Linked DNA regions of Stegostoma tigrinum. The protein of the gene in region 1 purifies or fractionates together with the protein of each later gene. This does not show direct contact. Links are inferred from orthologs where the notes say so. Each region holds a gene or a part of one and is shown in the gene's direction. Other genes may lie near its edges. The genes, in order: pfdn4, pdrg1, pfdn6 and pfdn1.

What was found.
Region 2: the proteins of pfdn4 (region 1) and pdrg1 purify together in Homo sapiens (co-immunoprecipitation; 3 studies listed by BioGRID and IntAct, counting the BioPlex papers as one, with this or other methods). This does not show direct contact. The link is inferred for Stegostoma tigrinum from reciprocal best matches to the Homo sapiens genes PFDN4 and PDRG1.
Region 3: the proteins of pfdn4 (region 1) and pfdn6 purify together in Homo sapiens (affinity purification with mass spectrometry; 6 studies listed by BioGRID and IntAct, counting the BioPlex papers as one, with this or other methods). This does not show direct contact. The link is inferred for Stegostoma tigrinum from reciprocal best matches to the Homo sapiens genes PFDN4 and PFDN6.
Region 4: the proteins of pfdn4 (region 1) and pfdn1 purify together in Homo sapiens (affinity purification with mass spectrometry; 5 studies listed by BioGRID and IntAct, counting the BioPlex papers as one, with this or other methods). This does not show direct contact. The link is inferred for Stegostoma tigrinum from reciprocal best matches to the Homo sapiens genes PFDN4 and PFDN1.

Annotation. Positions count from the first base shown.
Region 1 is NC_081372.1:44,346,062-44,353,865, forward strand, and holds the start of pfdn4 (prefoldin subunit 4), read left to right. Parts: upstream 1-4,787; 5' UTR 4,788-4,958; coding exon of another isoform or gene 4,959-4,982; intron 4,983-7,804. UniProt on the Homo sapiens protein: Binds specifically to cytosolic chaperonin (c-CPN) and transfers target proteins to it. Binds to nascent polypeptide chain and promotes folding in an environment in which there are many competing pathways for nonnative proteins.
Region 2 is NC_081372.1:55,170,712-55,178,115, forward strand, and holds the start of pdrg1 (p53 and DNA damage-regulated protein 1), read left to right. Parts: upstream 1-4,392; 5' UTR 4,393-4,461; coding exon 4,462-4,548; intron 4,549-7,404. Other genes in the region: tubulin beta chain-like, read right to left, coding at 96-152. UniProt on the Homo sapiens protein: May play a role in chaperone-mediated protein folding.
Region 3 is NC_081387.1:28,276,661-28,284,333, reverse strand, and holds the start of pfdn6 (prefoldin subunit 6), read left to right. Parts: upstream 1-4,668; 5' UTR 4,669-4,739; coding exon 4,740-4,803; intron 4,804-7,673. UniProt on the Homo sapiens protein: Binds specifically to cytosolic chaperonin (c-CPN) and transfers target proteins to it. Binds to nascent polypeptide chain and promotes folding in an environment in which there are many competing pathways for nonnative proteins.
Region 4 is NC_081366.1:38,410,649-38,417,938, forward strand, and holds the start of pfdn1 (prefoldin subunit 1), read left to right. Parts: upstream 1-4,290; 5' UTR 4,291-4,797; coding exon 4,798-4,830; intron 4,831-7,290. UniProt on the Homo sapiens protein: Binds specifically to cytosolic chaperonin (c-CPN) and transfers target proteins to it. Binds to nascent polypeptide chain and promotes folding in an environment in which there are many competing pathways for nonnative proteins.

The DNA of each region.
Region 1 (7,804 bases):
CTCTGGGAAGTACAGCGAAAGAGCAGTACTTTGTGTGAGTGTGTCCTAAGCATGAGAAGGCCCCCTGATATTATACAGACTATTCTAAATTCCACAAACCTGTCAGATGTACGTTTCCATTAATATTGTCGTTTCACTACAAGTTGTGGGGTGCCGGCACTTCTGCTGAGTTACTTGAAAGTCAATGCTAAAGTTCATACACACACGTGCCTACCATCAGCATTTTATACATCACAACAAGAAAGCTTTTCTTCTGAGATTAGATCTGACGGTGATAATCATTATGTCAGTTGGAAAGCACAATATGGGAACTGTAGTGGGGTTGGTGGGAAGTTGCAATTATGTGCTCAGAACAAAACAAGCAGTTGAAGGGAGAACTCAGGAAATATGGAACAATTTCATGTTGCCATTGGCTATTCAAAAGGTTGAGAGAGGAAAGTCGTAGAAAATTCTGAGAATTCAGGTAAGTGGATGCAAGGAATGTTGTTTAAAAATGATCCTATCGGATGGTGCAGCAGACTTGAAGGGCTGAATAGCCTACTTTGTTCCTGGTCCTATTCCTTGTAGTCTTATAATCCTAGCCTTTATTAAGTTGCTTTGAACATAGAACATTACAGCACAGTACAGGCCCTTCGGCCCTCGATGTTGTGCCGACCTGTCATACCGATCTGAAGCCCATCTAACCTACACTATTCCATGTACGTCCATATGCTTATCCAATGACGACTTAAATGTACCTAAAGTTGGCGAATCTACTACCGTTGCAGGCAAAGCATTCCATTCCCTTACTACTCTCTGAGTAAAGAAACTACCTCTGACATCTGTCCTATATCTTTCACCCCTCAATTTAAAGCTATGCCCCCTCATGCTCGCCGTCACCATCCCAGGAAAAAGGCTCTCCCTATCCACCCTATCTAACCCTTTGATTATTTTATATGTTTCAATTAAGTCACCTCTCAACCTTCTTCTAACGACTTTTTTGGTTGATGTTCATCTTTAAACCGGCTTTATTCTCCAAATGTGTTGGAAGAATGTAATTTTATTAAAATGCTGTGGACTAAATAACTTAGTCCCAGAAAATGGAAACAGGAATCGCAATGCACAATTAACCCTTATTGTGTCTGCTAAGTTGATCTCTTCCTCCTCCTCATCCTCTGATAGTCACCTATAAGCTACAGGCATTTACCTCATGATGGTAAGGTTGTGCAGACATACTACTGTACAGTGAATCAGGCAGTGGATATATTATATAAGCACAGATATAGTCAGCTGGATCACATTTCTTGTGCAAGCATGGCTCTCTTTGCATGTTTGTTGCCCAAATGTTACTGAGCTGTGCATTGAAATCATGAGTCATATCATCAAAACATAGCCCTTTTAATTCAAGAAACGACCTTTGATTTATCGTGGTAGTTCAAATCTGTTTTGTTTGTTAATGGAAGTCAAATACTCCAGTTGTGAAGATCTGGAATAAAAACAAAGATTACTGCAACCACTGAGAATCTTGTAATGAAAGGTGAGTGGGCTGCCAAGTAAGAAGACAAAAATTGCAGTTATGATAAAGCAGCACATTACTTTGACCACTGCTGGTGCCAGCCAATGAAAGAAATGTAATCTGTTCATCAGTAATTCTACTGTTTCTTGCTATTGGCTTAGGCTTCTTTGAAAGAATATTGTTGTAATTTGATCTCAAGACAGGGATTCCATGGACTTGATCCCAATGTTTTATTATTAGTATTATTAAATGGATATTTAATCTGAACTTGACTCATTACACATTTCTAAATTTAATGTTTTTGTGCTTAAGTTTGTTCTGCACCAGATTGCCACAAAAAAAACTATTGTCAGTACAAACAAGAAATTCACTATGTTTCTGATTGATGCTTGCTATATAGCCGTGCCAGCTCATTATGCTGTATGAGCTGCTGCTCATAATGAAAGTTGCTGCCACCATCCTGTTGAAATGTATGAAACCACAGGGCTAATTTTATCCATCATGGACAAGGAGATCCACTTCTTGGCATAACTAGAAGAGTCTAGTATAAAAAAAATAGTTTTTTTGCATATTAGCAACTAGCTGTTTACATCGAAGTGAACAACATTGTTATAGAGACTTTGGGGTGGACTAGATTTTAGGATTCACTCTTTCAAGATCCTAATTTGTTCTTTCCACAATTCCATATGACATATAACAGCCAGTAACGGCTTTCCGCATTATTAACCCTTTCAGATGCATCTATCTATTTATCCCAATCAAAATAAAAATAAATCAGGATATAGAAAAAGCTTGTAAGAAAGGATGGAAAATGAGGCTTAAGAAGTCATAATATAGAACAAAGAAGTTGCAGACGAATTGTGCAAGTTCTTTGAATCAGTTTTCACAGTGGAAGACACAAGCAGCACACCAGAATTGCGAGAGTCAGAAGCAGAGGTGAGTGTAGTGGCCACTAAGGAGAAGGTGCTGGGAAAGCTGAAAGGTCTGAAGGTGGATAAATCATCCAGACCAGATGGACTACACCCCAGAGTTCTGAAGGAGATAGCGGAGGAGATTTTGGAAACATTAGTGAGCTCTTTCAGGAATCACTAGAGTCAGGGGGGGTGCTAGAGGAATGAAAATAATTAATGTAATACCCCTGTTTAAGAAAAAAAGGCAGAAGACAGGTATCTGTAGGTCTTGTGAGTCCTAGTTCAAGATTCTCTTAAGGTTAACATGCATCGTCAGTTGGCAATTAGGAAGGCAAAAGCAATGTTAGTATTCATTTCAAGAGGACTGGAACACAAGACAGGGATGTACTACTGAGGCTGTGGTCAGACTGTATTTCGAAAACTGTGAACAGTTTTGGGCCCAATATCTAAGGAAGGATGTGCTAGCCTTGGAAGGGGTCCAGAGGTGGTTTATGGGAATGATCCTGGGGATGAAGGGATTGTAATATGAGGAGCAGTTGCAGACACTAGATTTGTACTTGATGTAGTTTAGAAGGATGAGGGGATTTGGATTGAAATTTACAGAATGCTGAGAAGCCTGGATTAAGTCAATGTGGAGAAGATGTTTTCACAAGTAGGAGAGACTAGGACCTGAGTGAAGGTCCTCAGAGTGAAGGGATGACCGTTTATAACTGTGTTAGGGAAGAATTTATTCAGTTAGAGGGTAGTTAATCTGGAAATCATTGCTACATCAGGCTGCAGAGCCCAAATCATTGAGTGACTTTTAGACAGAGATGGAAAGGTTCTTGATTAGTAAGGGGATCAAGTGTTATGAGCAGAAGGCAGGAGAATGGAGTGGAGAAACACATCAGCCATGATTGAATGCTGCTCAGGACTCCACGGGCTGAATGGCTTAATTCTGCACCAACAACTTATCATGTTATGGAAAGGTAAAACCCACAATTAAAACCACTTTTCCTCGACAAACCTGTCTGACTTGTTGCATGTATCCCACTTAATAGCTGCCTAAGGTGAAGTTCAATACATAACTTTTACAAAGGAGTCAAAGCCTAATTATTTACTGCATTATAAAGTCTTAACTGCTTGCTTATCTCTTGTTATCTCCTCTATCATTGAAATGATTTTATCTGTACTTTTAGTCCTCTCATCTAAGACAATATATATTTCATTGGAGGCAGTTCAGTTTAATAGGACAAATTCCCAGTGTGGGAACAGGCACTTTGGCCCAACAAGCCCATACTAACCCTCTAAACAGCATCACTCTACCCTTTCCCTATAACCGTGCAGCTAACACACCTAACTTATTCACCCCTGAACACTATGGGCAACTTAGCCTAAACATCTTTGGGAGGAAACTGGAGCACCTGGCAGAAACCCACGCAGACACAGGGAAAATGTGCAAACTCCACATAGTCACCTTAGGCTGGAATCAAACCCAGGTCCCTGGCACTGTGCTAACCATTGGGACACCACATCACCTACACTTTTCTTGTTACTTTTTCCTATCGGCTTTCTTTTACTTACCTCATATCTTGAGATCAGATGGCATCTTATATTTCTGGGGCTAGCACAAGAACCGTCTCCAAATAAAGTCTTCAATGAAAGTTAAGATGAGGAGGTTTTTTTCACTCTGAGGGTAGTGAATCTTTGGGAACATCTTGCTGCAGAGAACTGTGGGGGCAGAGTCCTGGTGTATACTTAAGGCCAAGGTAGATTGATTCTTATCAATACAGCGACCAAAGGCTATGGGGAAAGGGCAGGAAAATGGATATGAGGAGTGTTTGATCATTTGTAATCAAACTGAATGGTAGAGCAGACTGGAGAGGTTCAATAGCTACATTCTGCTACTACTTCTTAAGGATCTAATTGCTAATTACTTTCCCCTTGCTGTATATACATGTATATGAAAACACCTTCTGGCTTCTCTGAATGTTTTTTCTATATGTTTTAGAATTGATATTATATAATTGGAACAGTGTTCACTAAGACCAATTCTTGCTGTTGACTTCTGAATAAGGGTCCCTGGACTTGAATCGTTCATTCTGATTTCTCTCCACAGACACGATGAGCTTTTCCAGCATTTCTTCGTTTTTTGTTTTCTTACTGCTGGGCCTGTACCGTACTGTAACTGTTCTGTGTTCAATGATGCATTTTCTGCTTTTCTGATGAAGGGTCTAGGTCCGAAACGTCAGCTTTCGTGCTCCGTAGATGCTCCTGGGCCTGCTATGCTCATCCAGCCCCGCACTTTGTTATCTGGGAACAGTTGCACTTTTATATCGGCAGAGAACCGCGACGTGCCCTTTAAAAGCGATGATCCCTTTAACTGGAAGGTACCACAGTTTTGATACGGGTAAATGTTGAGTTTCTCCGAGAAATTTAGCGCCGCCGTTATTTTAACGAGAGGAATGTTTTACTTCTGGGAACGGAGTGTGTGTTGCACGGGCTGGTGGTAGAGAGCGGGACAGGGGTTTGGATCGGTTTCGGTGAACACGTGGGTGGAAGAGTCCGCAAAGATGGCAGCTACCATGAAGAAAGCGGTGAGTGTGTGTGTGTGAGAGAAAGCGTGAAAGAGAGGGTGAATGATACAGAAAGTGTGTGTGAAAGAGAGAGATTGAAAGGATTTTTAAAAAAGAAAGAAAAAGTGAAGCAGTATGTGAGAGTGAAGCACGAGTAAACAGGCGAGAGAGAGAGATAGCAGGTACAGGGCATTCTTTCTCTATGGGTCCCTATGTATTTATGCTGGGACAAGTTACGTATATACATTTGAAGGTATTATCTGATTTCTGTATATGGCAACCTGTCTGGTCGCCTCAAGGTGTACGTGTTCCAACGAGCAGTATTTATGTCAAATGTCAACCTATTTACAATTGAGAGTTTACCTTAAGCCTTTGAGCCCAAATACTCTGAGTTCAGGTTCATTCGTCTTGCTGAAGCCCAACTGGTGCAGGGAAATCAATACGTATTTGTGCCAAATATTAGCAGCCGTGTCATCTAACTGTGAACTCAAACGTGAAAGCAAATGCGTTGGAGAAAAGTGATTGAAATGTACCTCCACGTGGTATTTAACTTCAACATAGCATCACAAGCCTTCAAGTCCATTCTCAGTTTCTCAAACTTGTTTAGCATATTGGACAAGTTGCAGATAAAATTCAAAGCTGTAGAGTTATGCACTTTAGCAGAATGAAGAGGCAATACTAACCAAACTATTAACATCCAAAAGGGCCTTGAGAGACCTGAAGGAATATATGCTTCCAGTTTTGCCTAGCAGCAGAGCCCGGGTCTTCTGGTTAATGGCGTGGCTGCAGAGGCAGTGGTGCTAGGGGTTCCTGTTTGCAAGACAGCTGTGGTCCTGTCACAGGACTTGGTGTCAACAGCCCATTGGCCTAGCAATGAACTGATGTAATCTCTGATGTTGGTGGGTCTGGGACAGAAGTCGTTGGCCAGCAGGCTCAGGACTTCTGGTGGAGGCATTGGAATGAAGATAGACTTTCTTTCAGCTTTATCTTTTTATTGATGCTGGAATGTGGTGACGTTTGATCTGTTTCACTGTGTTTTACTGTATTATTATTATTGACTGTGGAGTACAAGGGACTATAAATCATCAATCATTCATTCACTCATTGTTGAAAGGGGCAGGTTGGTTAAGAAATTGGTTTTATAGGTAAATAACATGCAGTGCTTTCAAAGTAGAGGCATCATTATAAAAGCAAGGAAATAATGATGAAACTTTACAAAACATTGGTAATAATAGCAGCTATTATAAGAAACTTGAACTTATCCTATGATAAGTTGTTTAGGATATCAGGCAGAGCCAACATGGGTTTGTCAAAGGGAGATCATGTTTAACCAATTTATTTGAGTTCTTTCAAGAATTATTTTAGGGTTCTTGTGCTGCAGTTGTAGAATCTCTAAGTCTGAGCTATGGGCCTGGGTCAAGTCCTACCTGCTCCAGAGGTATGTAGTAACATCTCTATATGGGTTGCTTAGACAATATCTGAAGTACCAGCTCTGAGTAAAGGGGAACCAGTGAAAGTATTGTACTTACATTTCCAGAAGGCATTTAATAAGATGCCACATCAAATGTTATTGGGAAAAACAAAAGCCCTTGGCAGTAATATATGCATGGATAGAAGATTGGCTGGCTAATGGGAAGTAGAGAGTTACAATAAATGAGTCTTTTTTCAGGGTAGCAGGATGTCACAAATGCTGAACCAAATGGGCTGGTGCTTGGGTCTCATTTCTTTACATGTTATATTAATGATTTGGATGAACAGATCAAAGGTATGGTAACTAAGTTTACTGTTGACTCAAAAGCAGGAAAGACATTCTTCAGTGGAGTAGGGCTTCTTAGTCCAGGGCTCATCTACTCTGTTTGCTTTTCTTTTATCCCCCTCTTGTTGTTTTTGTTTTCCCTTTTTATTTCACTTACCTCTTGGGATGAATTCAGTCATGGTAACAGCATCCATCGGTGGTGGCGAGTGGGCCCAGCAGCACGGACTTATGTGGCGTCTTCAGAGGTGAGTTTGGGTTTCTGACAAGGTGGTCCTAGTGGTGACTCATTGCTGCTGTGGTGGAGGTGAGTTTGAGTTCCTGGCGGTGTATGCATCCAGCCCACATTCGTGGAGGCGGTGGCAGCAGCAGAGGCGAGTTCAGGCCTACTGGCTACAATCCTGACGGCGGTGGAGTCGATTTTGGGCTGGTGGTACTCAGCAGCATTAATGGCGTCTGCCTTGGCAAGGCCCGTTGAGGACTTATGGTGACAAGAGCATCACTGGATGCAAATTGGTGCCAAGAGTGGCAACTTTCATTCGAGCAGCAGAGACGCAACGAAGGAGACTCACACATTGCCAACAGGGCCATGGCCTTTCGTGGAACACTTAACAAGATGGACCGTAAAATTAAATATCTTTTCTTTATTTCTTCATCTTTCTACTTCTTTTATGTTCTATGTTTGGTTTATTTTTCCGTATTTTAAGTTGGAGCTGTGGAGTGGTGACACTATACAACACTTTTCACTGTATTTTGTAATGACGCACATGCAACAATAAATAAATAAAATCAGGAAAGTGAATTTTGAAAAGGACATGAGCCTATAAAGGGATATAGATAAGTGAATTGGCAAAGATCTGGCAAATGGAATATAATGTGGGAAAGTACCAAAATAAACAGTTTTGCAGAAATAACTACAAAATAATCATCTTATCTCAATGGTGAGAGACTTTAGTGCTCTTAAAAGCAGAGAGATCTGTGTGTTGTAGTACATGAATTATAGAAAGTTAGTATGCAGGTACAATAAGTGATCAGGATCAACAGAATGTTACATTTTGTTGTGAGGGAAATTGAATCCAAGAGTGGGGAG
Region 2 (7,404 bases), about 11 Mb from region 1:
GGACTCGAGTATCGTTTCGATTGACAGAAATGATGTGCATTGTGTATTTTTATGAACGGAAACGATTTGGATATTGTTGATGGCGGATTTCTTACCTTGGCTCCGATCTGGTTCCCGCATTGTCCAGCCTGGATGTTCAGAATTTCCCTCATTGTTGCTCCTGCTGTTTTTAGGGGACGCTGGTTTCTTCTGGGAGATACTCCAAGATCAACTACAAGAAGAATTTAGAACGGTTGATCTCTTTATATATGCTGCAGCGAACGGGGTGTTTGCAGACAGTTGTAAAGCTCGGTTTTTGTTTGTTGAATAAGGGTGTCAATGCTGCGGAGGGCTGGCTGTGAGGATACAGCTCTGCAACTATTAGCGAGACACTGCTCTGCAGCTCCCGGCTCACATTAGCGAAGCGCCCCCTTCGACCACAGCTTTTATAAAGTGTCCGTACCTGTGCACTCTGGGAGATGTAGTCGCCTTGCAGCACGTACTATGAGCTAAACATAACAATTTAAGAAACTGGAACCGGAGTAGATTACTTCAGCCTCTCGAGCCAGCTGTGCTATTGACTACGATCATGGATGATCTACTTATTCATATTCCATCTCCCATACTCTTCCAATATCCTTCGATTCCTTGAGTACACAGTAATCTATGGATCTCTGACGAATCTTGGACTAAGCACACATCCTCCTTGGGGTAAAGAATTTCAAAGATTAATAACCCTTTGAAGGAATACATTTCTCCTGATCTCAGTCTTAATTGTCCCACCCCTTATTTGAAAGCTATGTAGACACATCCAAGTCAGAGAAAAATCATTTCAGCAGCTATCATATCAGTTCATTTTAAGATTGCGTATGTTTTAATGGATCACTTCTCATAATTCTACATTCTAAGCAGTATGGACCAAATCAATCTTTCCATATAACACTCAAGATATGGTTCTCGCTAAGGCTTTTACAACTGCAGAATGAAACAGGCAAAGGATAATACCTTATATTTGTAATTGTACACCAAATTAAGCAGTGTAGTTAAACTAAAGGGGGACTGCAATGAAATAAAGGAACTTGAAGAATAGATATATGATTAACAAATGAAGGTTAGCACAGATAAGTGTGAGATGCAACAACACAAGCATACATCAGAAAATGCAAGTTAGTCAGGATTAGGGCCCTCAATCTGTTTTGTCATTTTACAAGATCATGACTGATCTGATTGTTGCCCTAATTCCCCTTAACTGTTTGCTCCCAAAACCATTTAATTCTTTTGCTCTTAAGAATGTTTCCACCTTGGCCTTAAAAATGTTCAAAAGATCCAGCCTCCACCATTCTATAGGGAAGAGTTTCACATGCCCATAATGCTCAAGTATTTTATAAAAGTTCCTCTTCATCTCCATCTTTGGAAACACGTCCCCTAGTTCTCTCTGACACAGGGAAATATCCATTCAGAATCCACCTGTTAAGTTCCCTTAGGATGTTAGCTATTTCAATAAGATTACCTCTCGGTTTTCTAAACTCCTATGGACGCCTCTGACAGAGTTCAACCTTTCCTTATATGGTGACACCTCATCCCAGATCTGAGTTGAATGGGTTTTCTTATCAGAATTGCTTCTAGTATAATGCTGACAGGTTTCTTAAATAAGGAGACAAAAACTTCATACTTTATCCAGATGCATTCCTTCCAAAGCCTGGTAGGAAGAATTGAACATGTCAGTCTGGGGGAGGCAATGGTCTAGTGGTATTTATCCCTGGAATGTTTCTCCAGACACCCAGATAATGTTCTAGGGACCCAAGTTCAAATCTCACCATGGCAGATGGTGGAATTTGAATTCAATAAAAATATCTAGAATTAGGAATCTAATTGCAGATTGTCATTGAAAACCCAACTGGTTCAAGATGTCCTTTAGGGAAGAAAACTGCCCTCCTAGGCCTGAAACGTCAGCTTTCCTGCTCCTAAGATGCTGCTTGGCCTGCTGTCTTCATCCAGCTCCAAACTTTGTTATCACGGAATCTCCAGCATCTGCAGTTCCTATTATCTCTACTATCCTTACCTGGTCCGGTCATGTGATTCCAGACCCACAGCAATGTGGTTGACTCTGAACTGCTCTCTGGGCAATTAGGGATGGGCAATGAATGCTGCCTAGCCAGCGAATGCCCTCATCCCATTAATGAATAATAACAAAATTACAAATGCACAAATCACTAAAGTTAGGCCATAGGTTAGCAAGGTGATAAAAGAAGAAAATCAAACATGAGTCTTTATTTCAAGAGGTATAATATTGAAAAGTTGGAAAGGTTATTTGAAACCCTTATTGAACATTGATAAGTATAAGACAGCATCTTTTAGGATGAGGAATAGAGAGAGTACATATTGCCTGGAAACAAGAAAAGAGTGTTCACTGGATTGGAGAGCAGAGGCTTTGGAGTTATAGACAGACACATTTTTGACATTATTAATACAGATTAATAAATCCACAACAGCACAAACCAAGCACAGGAGTTTGTTTCATAAGGGATAAAATTGAAAAGCAGAGATATAACATTCTTTATGAAGATTTGTTGAAATTTAGTTAAATTGCGATTGGGAATACTGTGAACAGTTCTGCTTTCCATATTATAAAAATAATATAAAGGTACCAAGCATATAAAGGCAAATAAAGATTAACAAGTGTAACACCTGAACTGAGGTAATGTCATACAAAGGATTTACAGACACTGAATAAAATGTTAAAAAGATTTACACAAATAATACCAGAGCTGAGCATTTATATCTGTCAGCAGTCATTGAATGTGTAGATTTTCTTCCGCGAGAAAAAAGACCTTGAGGTTTTTAAGTTATGAAAGGGAAGTCATAGAGATGATAAACTCCAGTTGCAGCAGAATGTATGATCATCCAAATAAATTAAATAAGGTTAGAATCTTAGAGTCATACAGCACAGAAACAGACCCTTCAGCCCAACTCGTCCATGTTCACCAGGTTCCTAGATTGAACTAGTCCCATTTGCTTATGTCAGGTCTGTATTCCTCTAAACCTTTCCTATCCATATACCTGTTCAAACGTCTTTTAAATGTTGTAATTTTGCATGCCAGTTCCTCTGACAGCCCGTTCCAAATCTGCAGCACCCTCTGTGTGGAATAGTTGCCCGTCAGGTCCCTTTTGAATCTTTCCTCTCTCATCTTAGACGTTTGCCCCCTATTTTTGGACTCCTCTACCTGGTGAAAAGACCTTGGCTATTCACCCTATCAATGCACCTTACGATTTTATAAACCTCTATAAGGCCACCACTTAACCTCCTTTGGCCAGGGAGAAATAAAGTTCCAGCCTCTACTTATAACTCAAACCCTCCAGTGCTGGACTTCAAACGTTAACAATGTTGCTATAATTTCTCCAGCGTTCTCTGCGTGTAAGAATTCAGGATTCACTTTTTCATCCAGAGAGAGTGGTCAAAACGAGGAAGGTACTGCCACATAGGATGGTTAAAGTGACGAAGAGGAAGCCAGAGAAACACTTAGAACAGAAAAGGAGAAAAGGACTGAACCTAAATAGTGGGCTGGATCAGAGATAATGGGAACTGCAGATGCTGGAGAATTCCAAGATAATAAAATGTGAGGCTGGATGAACACAGCAGGCCAAGCAGCATCTCAGGAGCACAAAAGCTGACGTTTCAGGCCTAGACCCTTCATCAGAGAGGGGGATGGGGAGAGGGAGCTGGAATAAATAGGGAGAGAGGGGGAGGCGGACCGAAGATGGAGAGTAAAGAAGATAGGTGGAGAGAGTATAGGTGGGGAGGTAGGGAGGGGACAGGTCAGTCCAGGGAAGACGGACAGGTCAAGGAGGTGGGATGAGGTTAGTAGGTAGCTGGGGGTGCGGCTTGGTGTGGGAGGAAGGGATGGGTGAGAGGAAGAACCGGTTAGGGAGGCAGAGACAGGTTGGACTGGTTTTGGGATGCAGTAGGTGGGGGGGAAGAGCTGGGCTGGTTGTGTCGTGCAGTGGGGGGAGGGGACGAACTGGGCCTCATCCCACCTCCTTGACCTGTCCGTCTTCCCTGGACTGACCTATCCCCTCCCTACCTCCCCACCTATACTCTCTCCACCTATCTTCTTTACTCTCCATCTTCGGTCCGCCTCCCCCTCTCTCCCTATTTATTCCAGCTCCCTCTCCCCATCCCCCTCTCTGATGAAGGGTCTAGGCCCGAAACGTCAGCTTTTGTGCTCCTGAGATGCTGCTTGGCCTGCTGTGTTCATCCAGCTTCACATTTTATTATTATAGTGGGCTGGATCGTTTGGAAGAAGCCCAGAAAGGACTTCAATTCCCAGGATGCTGCGCGGTTGAGTCTCGTCACAAAAGATACCGTTGATTGGCAGTATATTCACCAATCACACGGGGAACTGGGCAGCGCCAATGAAACGGGTGGAGCTCTGTTGATTGACAGCTCGGGCGGAGACGGTTAGAAGTTGGTTCAGGGTGAAGATGGCGCGGAAGCCGGAGGAGGAGGTGGTGAACTATCTGACTGAGGTGGAGGAGCTGGCGGAGAGTTTGCTGGCTGATAAACAGCAGGTACAATGGCGGCCTGTGTTTCGGGTTGGGTTGGCGTGGATCGTCGGCGCTGAAACGTTCGTTGTTGACCATGCCTATACTGCGCTTACTACTGGACCTGGCACCAAGTGTCCCTGCCGGGTATAGGGCCATCATCAAATGTGTTTGTGTTAAATGTCAGCCTACCCAGGGACTTAGACCTAGTTCAGGATTTTCTTAAGGTTACCATGTAGGTTCAATTTGCAGTTAGGAAGGCTAATGCAATGCTAGCAGTCTGTGTAGTATAGTAATTTGTTGTCACTTGTATTTGGGAAAATACAGGTGAGAAGTGTTTAAGTTGCCATGTTCTGGTTACCATTTTTAATGACAAAATATTAAAAAAGAAATGTTAAGATAGATAGAAAGATGCACCATGTCAATAGATTACTCAACTCAAGTATCAGAGTAAAAGGGTCAAGGACTTAGAGAAATATTTCTCACCAGAAAAACATAATGCATTGGATAATGGGAGCAACCTTGACTAATTTCTACCCTTCCTAAATGAGGGTCTTGTAAGGGTAGTTGCAAACCTTTCTACTTCTGGAAGAGCAGAGATGTACTGTTGAGGCTGTGTGGGGCCCTAGTGAGACCACATTTGTAATATTGTTAACAGTTGAGGGCCTGCAATCTAAGGATGTGCTGGCATTGGAGGGGCCCAGAGGAAGTTTCCAAGAATGATCCAAGAGATGAAAGGCTTGTTATGTGAAGAGTGGTCTGAACTCAATTGATTAGAACGATGACATGTGAATTTTATTGAAACATGTAGAATGCTGAGAAGTCTGGAAAGACTGAACATGGAGAAGGTGTTTCCACTAGTAGGAGTAGACTAGGACTCTAACGCACACTCTTGAACTGAAATGAGGAGGATTTCTTCAGCCAGAGATTTATTTAATCTGTGGAATTCACTTCTGCAGAAGGTTGTGATGGCCAAATCATAGAGTGTATTTAAGACAAATAGCTAGGTTCTTGATTGTTAAGGGGATCAAGGGTTATAGTGAGAAAGCAGGAGAATGGTGAGAAATATATCAGCCATGATCAAATCACTGAGCAGACTCTGTGGGCCGAGTGGCCTAATTCTGTTCCTGTATCTTATGTTCTGAGGCATGAGCATTTGAAAGGATTTGGCAGAAACCTAGTTTAGTCGTTTACCGCTAAATGAAGCTGGACCAGATAAGCTCCTATCTGGTCCTGCTGTTTTCTGAAAGTTGCTTACTCCAGGATAATCTTGGAGATAATAGATAACACCTGGCTTTTTCCTCTACTGTAACCAGTTTCCGCAGCTTTCAACTGCAGTGATTACCACAAATTTATGGATATTTCATCACTAAGTTTGAGATCATCTGATCACCTACCTCTGCCACTTTTTCTTTCTTTGAGACAAACTGGAACAGATGCTCTTCCATACCCAAGCCCTGTTATTTCTTCCTTCCCCACCTTCTCTCCTGTCTCCTATCATGGCCTGACCAAACTCAACTTGGCCATGAGACCAACCTGTTCTTGAACTGCTCCAGCGTAAAGGTGGCTAAATCCCCAGGACCTGACCAGATGTACCGTAGAACATTTTGGGAAGCTAGAGAAGTGATTGCTGGGCCCCTTTCTGAGATATTTATATCATGAATAGCCTCAGATGAGGTGTTGGAAGACTGGAGATTAGCTATTTGAAGAAGGTGGTAAGGAAAAGTCAGGGAGCTATAGATCAGTGAGAAGAAACACAGAGGAGCAGGATTTAGATGTATTTGGATAGGCAAGGACTGATTAGGATGTTTAACATGGCTTTGTGTGTGGAAAGTGTGTCTAACCTAACTTGATTGAATTTTTTTTGAAGAAGTAAAGAACAGGAATGATGAAGGCAGAGTGGTGAACATGATCTATGTGGACTTCATTAAGACGTTCAACAAAGTTTTACATCGTAGGCTGGCTAACAGTGTTAGATCATATGGAATGCAGGAAGAACTAGCCATTTGGATACAGAACTGGCTCAAAGGTAGAGGACAGTGGGTGGTGGTGGAGGGTTGCTTTTCAAACTGGAGGCCAGTAACCAGTGGTGTGCCACAAGGATCAGTGCTGAGTCCACTGCTTTTTGTCATTTGTATGAATGATTTGGATGTGAACGTAGGCATGGTTATTAAATTTGCAGATGATGCCAAAATACGTGGTGTACACTGAAGAAGGTTACCTGGGAGTACGATGGAATCTTGATCAGATGGGCTGGTGGGATAAGGAGCAGCAGGTACAGTTTAATTTAGATAAATGTGAGGAGTTTGGAAAGGCAAGTTGGGCAGGGGTTACAAACTAAGTGGTAAGGTCCTGGCGAGTGTTGTTGAGCAAAGAGACTTTGGAGTCATGTTTCATAGTTCTTGAAAGTGGAGTCACAGGTAGATGGGATAGTGAATGTGGCGTTTGATGTGGTTGCCTTTATTGGTCAATGCATTGAGTATAGGATTTGGAAAGTCATGTGGCTGTATAGGGCATTGGTTAGCCGCTATTGGAATACTGCCTGCAATTCTAGTCTCCCTGCTATAGGTAAGATGTTGTCAAACTTGAAAGGGTTTAGAAAAGATTTACAAGCTTCTTGCCAGGGCTGGAGGGTTTGAGCTATAGGAAGAGGCTGAATAGGCTGAGGCTACTTTCCCTGGAACATCAGAGGTTGAGGGGTGACGTTATAAAGGTTCATAAAATCATGATAGTGTGAGTAGACAAGGTTTTTCCCTAGACTGGGGCTTTCCAAAACTAGAGGGCATAAGTTTAAGGTGAGAAGGGACATATCTAAAAGGATGTTCTGAAGAAGTATCACTGGATTTGAAATGATGATTCTAATTTCTCTTCACAGATGCTGCC
Region 3 (7,673 bases), on another chromosome or scaffold:
GACCTCATTACAGCCTTGGTTCACACATGGACAAAAGAGCTGAACTCCAGAGGGGAGGTGAGAGTGACAGCCCCTAACATCAAGGCTGCATTCGACCAGGTGTGGCATCACGAAGCCTGAGCAAAACTGGAATCAATGGGTATCGGGGACAAACTCTCCGGTGGTTGGAGTCAGACCTGACACTGAGGAAGGTGGTTGTTGGGGGTCAGTCATCTCAGTTCCAGGACATCTCTGCAGGAGTTCCTCAGGGCAGTGTCCTCGGCCCAACCATCTTCATCAATGACCTTCCCTCCATCATAAGGTCAGAAGTGGGGATGTTCGCTGACGATTATACAATGTTCAGCTGCTCCTCAGATACTGAAACAGTCCGTGTCCAAGTGCAACAAGGCCTGGAATGAGAAGCAAGAAGTGACATTCACACCACACAAATGCCAGACTATGAAGAAAAGACTATAAGACAGAGGAGCAGAAGGGGGAACGCTGATTCACTTTATTCTATACTTGACTCCCATCCCCCGACATAAGTGCCACCATTCCCCAGCTCTGTCAGCTCAGGCGAAGGTTCACTGGACCCGAAATGTCAACTCTGTGTTTTTCTCTCTGTCTGAATTCTACCGGACCTGCTGAGTTTCTCCAGCACTTCCCATTTGTACTCCAAATGGAGAAAATGTTCCAGCTGATAATAAACAGCAGAGCATTTAGCATTGAATAATATGACTGTGCAGAACACATGGTTTCATGAAAGGTGTAATGATGCTCTGTCAGATAGATTAGAATTCCTTGAGCAGGACAGGAGAAGAAGCAGAGAGTGCTTGATGAGGTAGACGCACCCTCGGTGCTGGGGACGCTACATTCATGGGGAACTGTTCAGAAAGACACTGTCCAGTGAAGTTCATCAACATCCTCTGTCTCCTCCACAACAAGATGTGAGAAACAGTCCCCACTGATGGTAACCTGAGAGAATGGAGTCATAGTGCGATACAGCACGGAAACAGATCCTTCCATCCAACCCATCCATGCCAGCCAGATTTTCTACATTAATCCAATCCCTTTCCCCAGCATTTGGCCCCTATCCCCCCAAACCCTTCCTATCCATATACCCATCCAGGTGCCTGTTAAATGTTGTAACTGTACCAGCCCCCACCACTTCCTCTGGCAGCTCATTCCATACACGCACCTCCCTCTGTGGGAAAAAGTTACCCCTCAGCTCCCTTTTAAATATTTCCCATCTCACCTTAACCCTATATGCTCTTCGATATTCACCCTCTCTATTCACCCTATTCATGCCCCTCATAATTTTATAAACCTCTATAAGGTCACCCCTCAGTTCCAGGGAAAGTAGGCCCACCCTATTCACCCTCTCCCTAAAGCTCAAACCCTCCAACCCTGCAAATCCATGGAATCCCTACAGTGTGGAAAAAAGCCATTTGGCCCAATAATTCCACACTGAACCTCCAAAGAGCATCTGACCCAGACCCATTCCACTATCCTACCCCTGTAAATCTACATTTCCTGTGGCTAATCCACCTAATCTACACATCCTTGGCACTACAAGGTAATTTAGCATGGCCAATCCAGCTAGTTTGCACATCTTTGGACTGTGGGAGGAGACCAGAGCACCCAGAGGAAACCCACACAGACACGGGGAGAATGTGCAAACTCCACACAGACAGTCGCCCGAGGGTGGGGTCGAACCTGTGTCCCTGGAGCTGTGAGGCAGCAGCGCTAACCAGTGAACCATCGTGCTGTCCAACAGCCTTCTAAATCTTTTCTGAACCCTTCCCAGTTTTACAATATCATCCCTGTACCAGGGAGACCAGAATCAAACGCTGTATTCCAAAAGTGGCCTTCGAAGTCAAACAGGATATCATCACTGCTAGATAACAAGGTGTGGAGCTGGATGAACACAGCAGGCCAAGCAGCATCATAGGAGCAGGAAAGCTGACGTTTCAGGCCTAGACCCTTCATCAGGCCTGAAACGTCAGCTTTCCTGCTCCTAAGATGCTGCTTGGCCTGCTGTGTTCATCCAGCTCTACACCTTGTTATCTCGGATTCTCCAGCATCTGCAGTTCCTACTGTCTATCATCACTGCTGCCATTTTCTTCATCTTCATCATTACCAATCTTCACCTTATTAAGAACAAACTTCTCAGTAATGCGGACATTGTCTACAGGATAGACAACCTCAGTCAGTTGAAATTTAAGAAGGATATGACACCAAACTGGGTGATCAGCCATGATCATAATGAATGGTGGTGCTGGCTCGAAGGGCCGAATGGCCTACTCCAGCACCTATTGTCTGTTGAAAATATTACAACTTGCTTGTCGAACTTCAGCATGAAGACGACAATCTCATCTCTGCTGTCTCGGAAGAGAATTTTCAAGCCTCTCGTAATGTCTTAGTGGAATCATACCAATGAATTGGTGTCAGCGTCAACCTTTAGGAGACTCAAAAGTCTCCTAGCAGCCCTTCCCAAGGCAAAATTCTGGTCCATCCCACCATTTAGATCAATGGAAAAATTGTATCAAAATGGAACATTTCCTTTACTTGGAAAGCTAAGTCACATCTAAGGCTGACATTGATACGGCGATCCAACACCACATCCAATCTGTGAGTATCGCCTTGGCACATCTAAGGATTAGAGTCTTCGATGACCATGACATCCATACTGATACCAAGAGATATTTAAGGCAATCACCCTTCTAACTTTTCTATAATGGCTCAGAGTCGACTATGTGTAGACTCTCAAAGCTTTTGAGAAGCACCGCCAACACTGTTTGAGATTGATTCTGTGTATTTTGAGGACAGACGTACTAACATGAATGTCCTTGAAGCAGCTAACAGCACCAGAGGCCATGGTCATCCAAAACCAACTCCGCTGGGCTGGCCACTTACTTAGGAAGTCTGAGTTTCGACTACTACAGTAAATCATCTTCACGCAGTTCAAGAAAGGCACACGAACAAGAGGAGGGCAAAGGAAGCATTTCAAAGACTTCCCAAGATGCCTCAAGAAATGCAACATAAATGTTATCATGTGGAAGACCCTCATTCAGAAGAAACTGAATGGAGGAAACTCCTATGTGAAGGGACACAATCCTCAGAAAGCACATGTAGGTAAGCGGAAATACAGAAAAGGAGCTGAAGAAAGAAATGCCAAAGGCCAATCCCATCTCCTGGAAACACCTGCCAAATGTATATTTGGAGATGCAACCCTAGGATCAGGCCCATTGGCCACACAAGGAACCACAGACCCATGACCAGTGACACAGAATTTCTTACGGGGACAATCAGACACACACCACCCCCACCAAATCTGATAGCGAGTAGTTGCTGACAATGGTGATGTGAGCATGAATAGAGGATTGACCAACTCATAGAAAACAGAGAGTTACAGGCTCGATAGGCCCTTTTTCTGCAACCAAGGTTCTCTGATTCGATGAGGGCTGACCATCACGGAGTTGGGAGACCAGGATCCAGCGGCAGAGATGCTCTTTGGAATCCAGTTGGTTGAAATGTTGTTAGATCTGTACACCCTTTGCTTACTACAATCTAGCTGGTACTGCTAAGAAACAAGGCTTTTCACTGTACTCAGGCACACGTGACAACAAATCAATCAGTCAATCAGTGGGTTCTGCAGGAGCTTTGCCTGAAGGCGGTGTGGAGCTGCCATGGTTCACAGGGTCTTGCCACTGGAGACAGCCCCAGATAAGGTTCACACGTCTGACCCTGGGTTGAGGAGACGTTGGGTAGTTTGAGCCCCTACTGATCGGAGCTTGGAACGAGAGGTGACCTTATCGGAACATACAGGATTCCCGGGCAAACCCGACAGGAAATAAAAGCAGATGTTGGTGGAAAAGCTCAGCAGGTCTGGCAGCATCTGTGGAGAGAAATCAGAGTTAACGCTTCGGGTCCACCCTCCCACAGAACTGATGGTGGCCAAGAACATGTTAGTTTATATGCAGAAGACAGGGTGGCGGGGGGAGCAGGGGGGGATAGAGCCCAAAGAGAGAGAGTAGCTGGACAGGCAAAGGAGCTGGTAATGATCAGGCCGGGAGGGTGAGTAATTATTACTGGGGGCTGTCAGTGGCTAACAGCAGGGGGCGGTGTAAAGGGATGCACTGGGGGGCGGGGTCAGGGCGACGTTCGAGCCGGGGGCGGGGTCAGGGTGACGTTTCAGCCGAGGGCGGGGTCAGGGTGACGTTGAGCCGGGGGCGGGGTCAGGGTGATGTCCGTGCCGGGCGCGGGGAAAGGGTGATGTCAGCGTCGGGGGCGGGGTCAGGGTGACGGTAGAGCCGAGGGCGGGGTCAGGGTGACGTTCAGCCGGGGGCGGGGTCAGAGTGATGTCTGTGCCGGGCGCGGGGTCAGGGTTAATGGGAACTGCAGATGCTGGAGATTCCAAGATAATAAAATGTGAGGCTGGATGAACACAGCAGGTCAAGCAGCATCTCAGGAGCACAAAAGCTGACGTTTCGGGCCTAGACCCTTCATCAGAGAGACGTCAGCTTTTGTGCTCCTGAGATGCTGCTTGGCCTGCTGTGTTCATCCAGCCTCACATTTTATTATCGCGGGGTCAGGGTGATGTTCAGCCGGGGGCGGGGTCAGAGTGATGTCTGTGCCGGGCGCGGGGTCAGGGTGATGTTCTTAGCCGGCAGCGGGGAAAGGGTGATGTCAGCGTCAGGGGCGGGGTCAGGCGTCGAGACGTCAGTCGCACGGCGGCGGGGGTCAGAGTTCGGTGAAAAATGGCGGACGGGATCCAGAGGAAGCTGCAGCAGGAGCTGGAGAAGTACCAGGCGCTACAGAAAGGTAGACAGAGATAATGGGAACTGCAGATGCAGGAGAATCCAAGATAATAAAGTGTGGGGCTGGATGAACACAGCAGGACAAGCAGCATCTCAGGAGCACAAAAGCTGACGTTTCGGGCCTAGACCCTTCATCAGAGAGGGGGATGGGGTGAGGGTTCTGGAATAAATAGGGAGAGAGGGGGAGGCGGACCGAAGATGGAGAGTAAAGAAGATAGGTGGAGAGAGTGTAGGTGGGGAGGTAGGGAGGGGATAGGTCAGTCCAGGGAAGACGGACAGGTCAAGGAGGTGGGATGAGGTTAGTAGGTAGGAGATGGAGGTGCGGTTCGGGGTGGGAGGAAGGGATGGGTGAGAGGAAGAACCGGTTAGGGAGGCAGAGACAGGTTGGACTGGTTTTGGGATGCAGTGGGTGGAGGGGAAGAGCTGGGCTGGTTGTGTGGTGCAGTGGGGGGAGGGGATGAACTGGGCTGGTTTTGGGATGCGGTGGGGGAAGGGGAGATTTTGAAACTGGTGAAGTCCACATTGATACCATTAGGCTGCAGGGTTCCCAAGCGGAATGAGTTGCTGTTCCTGCAACCTTCGGGTGGCATCATTGTGGCAGTGCAGGAGGCCCATGTTGGACATGTCATCAAGAGAATGGGAGGGGGAGTGGAAATGGTTTGCGACTGGGAGGTGCAGTTGTATGTTACGAACTGAGCGGAGGTGTTCTGCAAAGCGGTCTCCAAGCCTCTGCTTGGTTTCCCCAATGTAGAGGAAGCCGCACCGGGTACAGTGGATGCAGTATACCACATTGACAGATGTGTAGGTGAACCTCTGCTTAATGTGGAATGTCATCATGGGGCCTGGGATAGGGGTGAGGGAGGAGGTGTGGGGACAAGTGTAGCATTTCCTGCGGTTGCAGGGGAAGGTGCCGGGTGTGGTGGGGTTGGAGGGCAGTGTGGAGCGGACAAGGGAGTCACGGAGAGAGTGGTCTCTCCGGAAAGCAGACAGGGGTGGGGATGGAAAAATGTCTTGGGTGGTGGGGTCGGATTGTATATGGCGGAAGTGTCGGAGGATGATGCGTTGTATCCGGAGGTTGGTGGGGTGGTGTGTGAGAACGAGGGGGATCCTCTTGGGGCGGTTGTGGCAGGGGCGGGGTGTGAGGGATGTGTCGCGGGAGACGCGGTCAAGGGCGTTCTCGATCACCGTGGGGGGAAAGTTGCGGTCCTTGAAGAACTTGGACATCTGGGATGTGCGGGAGTGGAATGTCTTATCGTGGGAGCAGATGCGGCGGAGGCGGAGGATTGGGAATAGGGGATGGAATTTTTGCAGGAGGGTGGGTGGGAGGAGCTGTATTCTAGGTAGCTGTGGGAGTCGGTGGGCTTGAAATGGACATCAGTTACAAGCTGGTTGCCTGAGATGGAGACTGAGAGGTCCAGGAAGGTGAGGGATGTGCTGGAGAGGGCCCAGGTGAACTGAAGGTTGGGGTGGAAGATGTTGGTGAAGTGGATGAACTGTTCAAGCTCCTCTGGGGAGCAAGAGGCGGCGCCGATACAGTCATCAATGTACCGGAGGAAGAGGTGGGGTTTGGGGCCTGTGTAGGTGCAGAAGAGGGACTGTTCCACGTAACCTACAAAGAGGCAGGCATAGCTGGGGGCCATGCGGGTGCCCATGACCACCCCCTTAGTCTGTAGGAAGTGGGAGGAGTCAAAAGAGAAGTTGTTGAGTGTGAGGACGAGTTCAGCTAGGCGGATGAGGGTGTCGGTGGAGGGGGCCTGGTCGAAACCCCGCCCATGGCTGACAGAACCCCGCCCATGGCTGACGGAACCCCGCCCACAGCCGACGGCCTCATCGCTCCGCCCACAACCTCCACAGCCTGCAACCCCAGAGGAGACAGCCACACTGAGCCCTGCCGCATCTTCACCTTCCCCCCAGACCTCCCACTGACTGAGGACGAACGGTCAGCCCTAAGCAAGGGGCTCACCTTTGTCCCCCTACAACCACACATCAACGAATACCAGTCACGGTCGGACATAGAGCAGTTTTTCCACCGTCTTCACCTCCATGCCTACTTCTTCAACCGGGAACCCAACCCTCCCTCCACTGACCCCTTCACCCGCTTCCAACACAAGTCCTCCTCCTGGACACCACCCCCAGGCCTCCTACCCTCCCTCGACCTCTTCATCTCCAACTGCCGTCGAGACATTAACCGCCTCAACCTCTCCACCCCTCTCATCCACTCCAACCTCTCCCCCGCAGAACGGGCAGCCCTCCGCTCCCTCCGCTCCAACCCCAACCTCACCATCAAACCCGCAGACAAGGGTGGCGCAGTGGTAGTATGGCGCACTGACCTCTACATCGCCGAGGCCAGACGCCAACTCTCCGACACCACCTCCTACCGCCTCCTCGATCATGACCCCACCCCCGAGAACCAAACCATCATCTCCAACACCATTCATGACCTCATCACCTCAGGGGACCTCCCACCCACAGCCTCCAACCTCATTGTTCCCCAACCCCGCACGGCCCGTTTCTATCTCCTTCCCAAAATCCACAAACCTGCCTGCCCTGGTCGACCCATCGTCTCAGCCTGTACCTGCCCCGCCGAACTCATCTCACCTATCTGGACTCCATTTTCTCCCCTTTGGTCCAGGAACTCGCCACCTACGTCCGTGACACCACCCACGCCCTCCACCTCCTCCAGGACTTCCAATTCCCTGGCCCCCAACACCTCATATTCACCATGGACGTCCAGTCCCTGTACACCTGCATTCCGCATGGAGGTGGCCTCAAGGCCCTCCGCTTCTTCCTGTCCCGCAGGCCCGACCAGGCCCCCTCCACCGACACTCTCATCCGCCTAGCTGAACTCGTCCTCACACTCAACAACTTCTCTTT
Region 4 (7,290 bases), on another chromosome or scaffold:
GTGATGTTCCTCTGCTACCCTTGTCCTTCTTGATGATAATGGCCATGTCTTTGAAAGGTATATTCGAAGCTATCTTTGAGAATTTCTGCAATGTGTCTGGTGGTGGATGTGGTGCTAATCAAGCAGGCAGTTTTGCTGGATGGTGTCATGCTCCTTGAGTTATTGGAGCTGCACTCATCCAATTAAGTGGGCAGTCACACCATCACAATCCTGACTTGTGCCTTGTTGACCATGGATGCCAATTAGAGTCAGGAGTTGAGTTACTCTCTGCAGGGTTACTAGCCTCTGAACCTGTAGTTACCCACATTATTTATATGGCCAGTTCAGATCATTATCTGATAAATGGGGCCCCAGTTTGTTGACAGTAGGGTTCAGTGATGGTGGTGCCATTGAATGTCAATGGTCAACTTCTCTCCTGTTGGGGGTGGTCATTGCCTGGCAATTGTGTGGCATACATGTTTCTTGCCACATGTCAGTCCCATACCTGGATATTGTCTACATCTTGCTGCATTTGGGCATGGGCTGCATCAGTACCTGAGGAGTTGTGACCGGTGCTGAACATTATGGAATCATCAGTGAACACCCCCCACTACTGATCTTATGATGGAGGGAAGATCATTGATGCAGCAGCTGATGATAGTTGCACCTGGGACATTAACCTGAGGAACTTCTGCACAGAATTCCCGAAGTTTAGATGACTGATCGTCGACAACCCCAGCTATCTTCCTTTCTACCAGGGATGATTCCATTCAGTGGAGAATTTTCCTTCTGATTCCCATTGACACTAGTTTTGCTATGGCTCCTTGATTTCACACTTGATAAAATGCTACTTTCATATCAAAAGCAAATGGTCTCACTTCACCTCTGGTCAGGCCTTTTGTCCATGTTTGAGTCAAGGCTGTAATAAGGCCAGGAGCCACGTGGCCCCGGCATAACCCAAACTGTGTCAGTGAGCAGTTTATTGCTAAGCAGGTGCTGCCTAATAGCACTGTTGATGACACCTTCCGGCACTTTGCTGATGATTTAAAGTAAACTAATGGAGCGTTAATTGGTCAGGTTGGAATTGTCATTTTTGTGTACAGGACACACCTAGACCATTTTTCACAGTGTAAGGTAAATGCCAGTCTGGCAGCTCTACATGGAACAGCTCAGCTAGGAGCAGACCAAGCTCTTTACTATAAATATTCAGCACTACTGCCAGAATGTTGTCAGAGCCTGAAGCCTTCAAAAGTCATAAAAGAATGGGCACTTAAGTAAAATGTTGGAAGGCTGCAGGTATGCAGTGAACTGTATTACGGACTGAGTTAATGTCACTAAGAAAAGAAGGCAAAAGATAGAAGAAAGATGTTTTTGATACAAATTACTTATGAATATGAATGCCAGCAATTGGAATGTTCTGCCCGATGGCTGTTCTCTTTGTGCATAACTTAGGGCTTTTCATATTTTGGAATCTTCAAGACGGTCTGTGATAACCTCTTAATTTTGTCGTGTCAAATATGACATTTGTGCTACACCTACTCATTTCTTCGTGGCTTGCAGTGAGACAATATACTTTTCATGTGGTCTAGCTGGAACTTTGATTCTTAAATGCAATAGAGACCTCCTCCACAAGCAATTAGAAGGAAAATGTTTTGTGTACAGGCCACAGAGAATGCATTGTCTAAACATTTAAATTAAATGCATGTAGCGGTAGGTTTCAAAAGATTTTTAAAATGCAGTTTGACATTGTGCCGTAGTTGCACCATCTGCGGTGACAAATCAAATTAATCCGATCTTTAAATTTACAGTACAACTTCAGTAATACTTGAACAGTGAAAACTGCTTAGTAGAATGCTGATGTTGTACTGTGAATGCGACTTTAGATATTTTTTTGTCAACGCAGCCTGTGATGACTTCTAACTCCCAAAATAAAGGTCAGCTGTAATTAACTTTACTGCTGTAGATTGGATTTCTCTGAATACGTTCACCAAATTCATAGGAAATGTTTTGCTGGCACAAGAACATTCTGCTTGATTGAGGCCAACTGGGGTTTTTCCAGAATGATATATAGTAAGAAACTGCTTACTTTCTTCATGAACAAAGTGGTTGTTCATCCTGTCCTGAAATCCTGAACTAGAGCAGTAAAATTGAACAATGTCACAACAAGTTAGAAATTAGAGTAAATCTTTCCTTTGCTCCTACCAGCTTTGACATGAGCTATCACAGGAAGTGAACCCTGGTAACATGAACTCTGAATAACAATTAGTCTTGTATTATAAAGTTATAGTAATGAGGTTGGACTCACTTATGCCCAGTTAAAGGTTGCAAAATACTGACAACATTCATATCACACTACACTGAAAAACGAATTTTAAATGTGGTGATGACATTTGAAAATTTTTTGGTTATGAATGGAGAGTTCCAAACACTCATAACCATCTGAGAGCAAGGCAAGGAGACAGCTCATTACCGCCTTCTCAAGAATACTTAGGAATGGACAATAAGTGTTGTTTCAGCCAGCAAAGCTCACATTCCATGTATGAGTCAAGGAAAACATTATGCAGAGAGGGTGTAATGCAGTCGACGACTTTCTTGTTCAGCTGGTAAGTTTGTTTGCAGACGTTTTGTCATCATACTGGGTAACATCATCAGTGTGCCTCTGGTGCAACGTCGGTGTTCTCTCCCGCTTACTATTTATATGTCCCACTTTCTTGGTATGAGTGACATCACTTCCGGATTTGGTTCTTAGTGGTTGGTATATGGGGTCCAGCTCTACATCATTGTTAATGAGTCCTGGTTTGAGTGCCAGGCCTCCAGAAATTCTCATGCATGTCTTTGGTTGGCTTGTCCTAGCTTGGCTATGTTGTCCCAATCGAATTGGTATCCTTCTTTGTCCAGGTGTACTGAAATGAGTGATAGTTGGTTATGTCTCTTGGTAGTTAATAGGTGTTTGTGAATCCTGATGGTTAGTTTCCTTCTGGTTTGCTCCGTATAACGTTTTTGGCAGTCTTTGCATGGTATCTTGTAAATAACATTGGTTCTGTTAGTTGTGGTTGTGAGACCCTTTCTTTATTATCAGTAGCTGTCGCAGTGTAGCTGCCGGTTTGTGGGCTACCATGATTCCTAGGGGGTGGAGTAATCTGGTAGTCATCATGCAAAGGCTGCCAAAAACATTTCATACGGCAAACCAGATGGAACCTCCCCATCAGGATTCACAAACACTAACATTATCGCTACACCGCTATCTTTTCCTGCTGTAAAGTACTAGGGCAGCAGATATCTTATGCAAACTCAGGAAGTGATTGGGTGGAGGAGCAACGTTATGCTGCTCATGTATCTTGAAGACGTGGTAGGATTGCAGTAATGTCAATGGTCTAGTAAACCAGAGGCCCATGGCAACGCACTGGGGAAATAAAAGCTGAAAGAACTGTGGATGCCATAAATCAGGAACAAAACAGAAGTTGCTGGAAAAGCTCAGTAGGTCCAGCAGCATCTGTGAAGAAAACTCAGTGTTAATGTTTCGGGCCCAGTGGTTCTTCCTCAGTATGTAATGCACTGGGGACATTTGTTTGAATCGCCACTACAGAAACCGATGGAACTTAAGTACAATTAATAAATCTTGAATTGAAAACTAGTCTCAGGTAAGAATCATGAACAAAAACAAAGTTGCCGGAAAAGCTCAGCAGGTCCGGCAGCACCCGTGGAGGAGAAAACAGAGTTAATTTTTCGGGTCCAGTGACCCTTCCTCAAAACACAGGATCATGAAATAGTCCTTGATTGTTGCAAAAACTCACCTTGCTCATTAATGTTCTTTAGGTTGAGGGAAATCTGCCATCCTTACCTGTTTTGGCCTATGTGTGATTCCAGATCCCATTGGAATGTGATTACCCTTTTAACTGCCCTCTGAAAAGGGCAAGCAAGCCACTCAGTATAAAGTGCAATAACAAATGGACAATAAATGTTGACCGGGTCAGTGATACCACAACCCATCATGTTAAAAAAAAAACTGGCTTCCCAATGTTTAAATTGGTGAAATAATGCTGCTTCATCTGGATGATGTTATAACAGGAAGTGATTCTATATTGAAAAAAAGGTGGTGCTTTCACTAGGGAACAAGAGATACCAATTACTTCAACAAAGCGTCACTTCCCTTAGAAGGTTAACCTGACAGAAAACCAGGGTCAAATCGTATCTTCTCAACTACCTAATCAACATGAACCAGTTGTTTACAAAATGTAGAGAAACTTAAAGCAAACAACGTGTCCAAAGATTGTGGAGACCTCAGAACTGCGCCAGTTCCGGCACACAAGCCTGACTGTGCACATGAAGGGGCTATGAGAACGTGAATACACCATTCGGCTACTTCTGTGGACGGAGAACAGCGGTAGCGTTTCGAGTCCGATGTGACTTTTCTTCAGAACTCAGGAACTTCCTAAACACTGACTTCTGACTCGAAACGTTAGCTCTGTTCCTGCATCCACAGACGCTGCCGGAGCTCAGAGGAAGGGTCGCTCGACCTGAAACCTTAGCCCTGACTTCTCTCCACACGGATGCTGCCAGACCCGCTGAGCTTTTCCAGCAATCTCCGTTCCACGTCGCTGCTGTTTGTTTTTTAACTTCAGGTTTCCAGCATCCGCAGTATTTTCACTTTGATTTGATAAAATGAAATCGGAAACCCGCTTCAATCGAGCATTGTTGTGTGATATTAGACGGGACCCAAGAATAAAAACCACATGACAGTGCACATCGAACTCTCTCGCTGCTCCTCCTCCTCGCCGCCGGTAAGGAGCGGTCTGCGCATGCGCTCATCCTCTAAAGATGGCAGCCCCCGTGGATCTGGAGTTGAAGAAGGTACAGGAAGACACAGGGGTCTCATTGCTTCGCGTTTTTATCCTTTTTTGATGACCGATCGCTGGCTTTAACTTTCTCAGAATAAAAGGCACATGTTGTGGGAGGGTTTTAGCATTGATTTGTTTTCGGTGGTTATTAAAAGTGAGTGGTTGGTGCAGGCCTGGCTGCGCTGGAAGTCTTGCCCACCCTGTTGAGTTGAAAATTTGCCATGTGTATAATCCATAGACAGCAATAACACGATTTCTGACTTATTTTGGAGTGAGATATTTCTAGAGTGTTAAAGAGTACAAGATGTTATCACTTTTGTGTACTGTTGAAATGCATTTATTTTCCTTCATGTCAGATCTTACCTGTTGTCTTAACGATTATGGTTTACGCCTTAATATTTTAAAATTTTGGAAGCGCACCACAACAAGTAAGTCAGTACGATCGGTATCTGGACAAATACCGATCATTTTGGACGGGTTTGTTCACGGGTCGTCTGTTTTAAGTGTTCCTATAAATGTTCAGATTTTAATTTCCTAAAGTGTTTGTAATATTGTTTATTATCTGAATTAACAGAATTTTTATTTTCTTGTCAATTTCTATCACACTCAGCATGGTTAATTCGGCAAACTCACTTTTTAAAGTAGACAGTTCAAAGACCTTTGTGCTCAGAGGACGATGCAACAATAATCAGTTATTCAGCAGTTCTTTTTTAAAAAAAAAACTGAGGATGAGGGTGTCACCCAGAAGGCTGCATTCACTGTTCATCCCTAGTTGCTTGAGAAAATGGTGGCTTTCACCTTGAACTGCTGCAGTGAATGGTACATTCACTGTGGTGTTATATAGAGAATTCCAAGATATAACCAGTAACAGTGATATTTTATTTGCACTGGGATTATGAGTGATTTGGCAATAATGCTTCACTGCTTCTTTTGCTCATGTGGTGGAGGTTTATGGGTGCCAGACTGTTAGTATAACCATGTCGAGTTGCTATTATGCGTTTGTAGACTGAATTTACTGAAGCTAGTGCCTGTGATGGAACAAGTGGATGTGAACCACTGTGCCTGGGGGACCTATTTAGTGAACTGTAGCATTGTGAGTTACTTCCACTATCAGATGTGTGTTAGAATAAACAGTTTATGTAGTAAATGTAAAATTTGTGGGCACAGACTGGATTACATTGAGGTTGCAACGACAATAAAGTCTGTTGCTTGTGTCATCTGGATGCATTAATGCTATTGTATTGGCACAACCAATCGTTGATGGACTATCTTCTTTTCTTTCAGCTTTTTCCCATATTATGTTGGGTCACTGTACTTTAATGTCAGTCATCCTTTGGGATTTGGCAGTTGATTTTACAGCCAGATGCTGTTTCTGTCGCTCACTGTTCTCATTCATCTGGGGGTTGGGAAACTCAGCACGGTTCACCAGGCAAACTCTTACATTTAACCCCTGGCTTGAGCATGTTGGAAGGATTAAACCTCTCATGAATGGCATCCCACCTATGGTAGCTTGACTTTGTGGTTGTTGTGTCGATAAGACTATTTTATTGCAGGAACATTTTTTTTGAAAGACATTGTCCAGCTGTATTACTATTACTACTATAATTATTGATATGCTGTTTAATTTGAATGCAAGATTAAAATAATTAGACCCTTGCCTTTCTATCTTGGCATCCAGGACTTTAGCAGGATTACATTTGAAGTGTTTGGTTTGCACACTGCTGTTCACCAAACTGAAACTCTGTCACGAGTTAATTTACACATGGTTCCGTCATTGGTATTGACTGCTAAAAAAAACTTAGGCTTTTGTGTTCGTTTCTAGAAATTCATGAGAAAAGAAATGAACTGTGGAATCATATTTAATTTCTTATGAATTTCTTTTGAAAAGCTGGAAGTTCAGAGTTGTATGTGAAATTAAGAACTTCAAAAGTGCTTTATATAAGGCTATTACAGGTTTTTAAAGGAATGATAAAGTTGCATGCTTGAAAATTATAGTTAGTGAAACTTTAAGTGAAGGGATTGAGAAAGTAGACAGATTTAAAATCGGTCCTTTATATAGGTACAGGAATAGCTCTCTGAGACTGCTTGGTCATTTATTACGATCATAGTCGATAGAATGCTTTCATTCCTTTTAACCACACTATCTCTATAACCCATTTGCCATTGGTAATAAGAAATGTATCAAACTTTAAATGTACACCAATGAATGGTCTTCTGTAGTCATTTGAGGCAGAGAATTCCAAAGATTCACCACACTGTCAGGACTCATGATTTTTTTGTTACTCAATGGCTTCCTTTTTTTTTTGTTGTACTGCAGTTCTGGACTCCCCAAACAGGATGAACATCTTACCTGCATGCACCCTGTTATCTCCATGAGTGTTTTGTAGGCTTCTTTGAGATCATGTCTCTTCTTCAAAACTTTTGAGAATATGTGGCTAGATGAAGATTCTGTAATTACTCTTAATGTTAATAA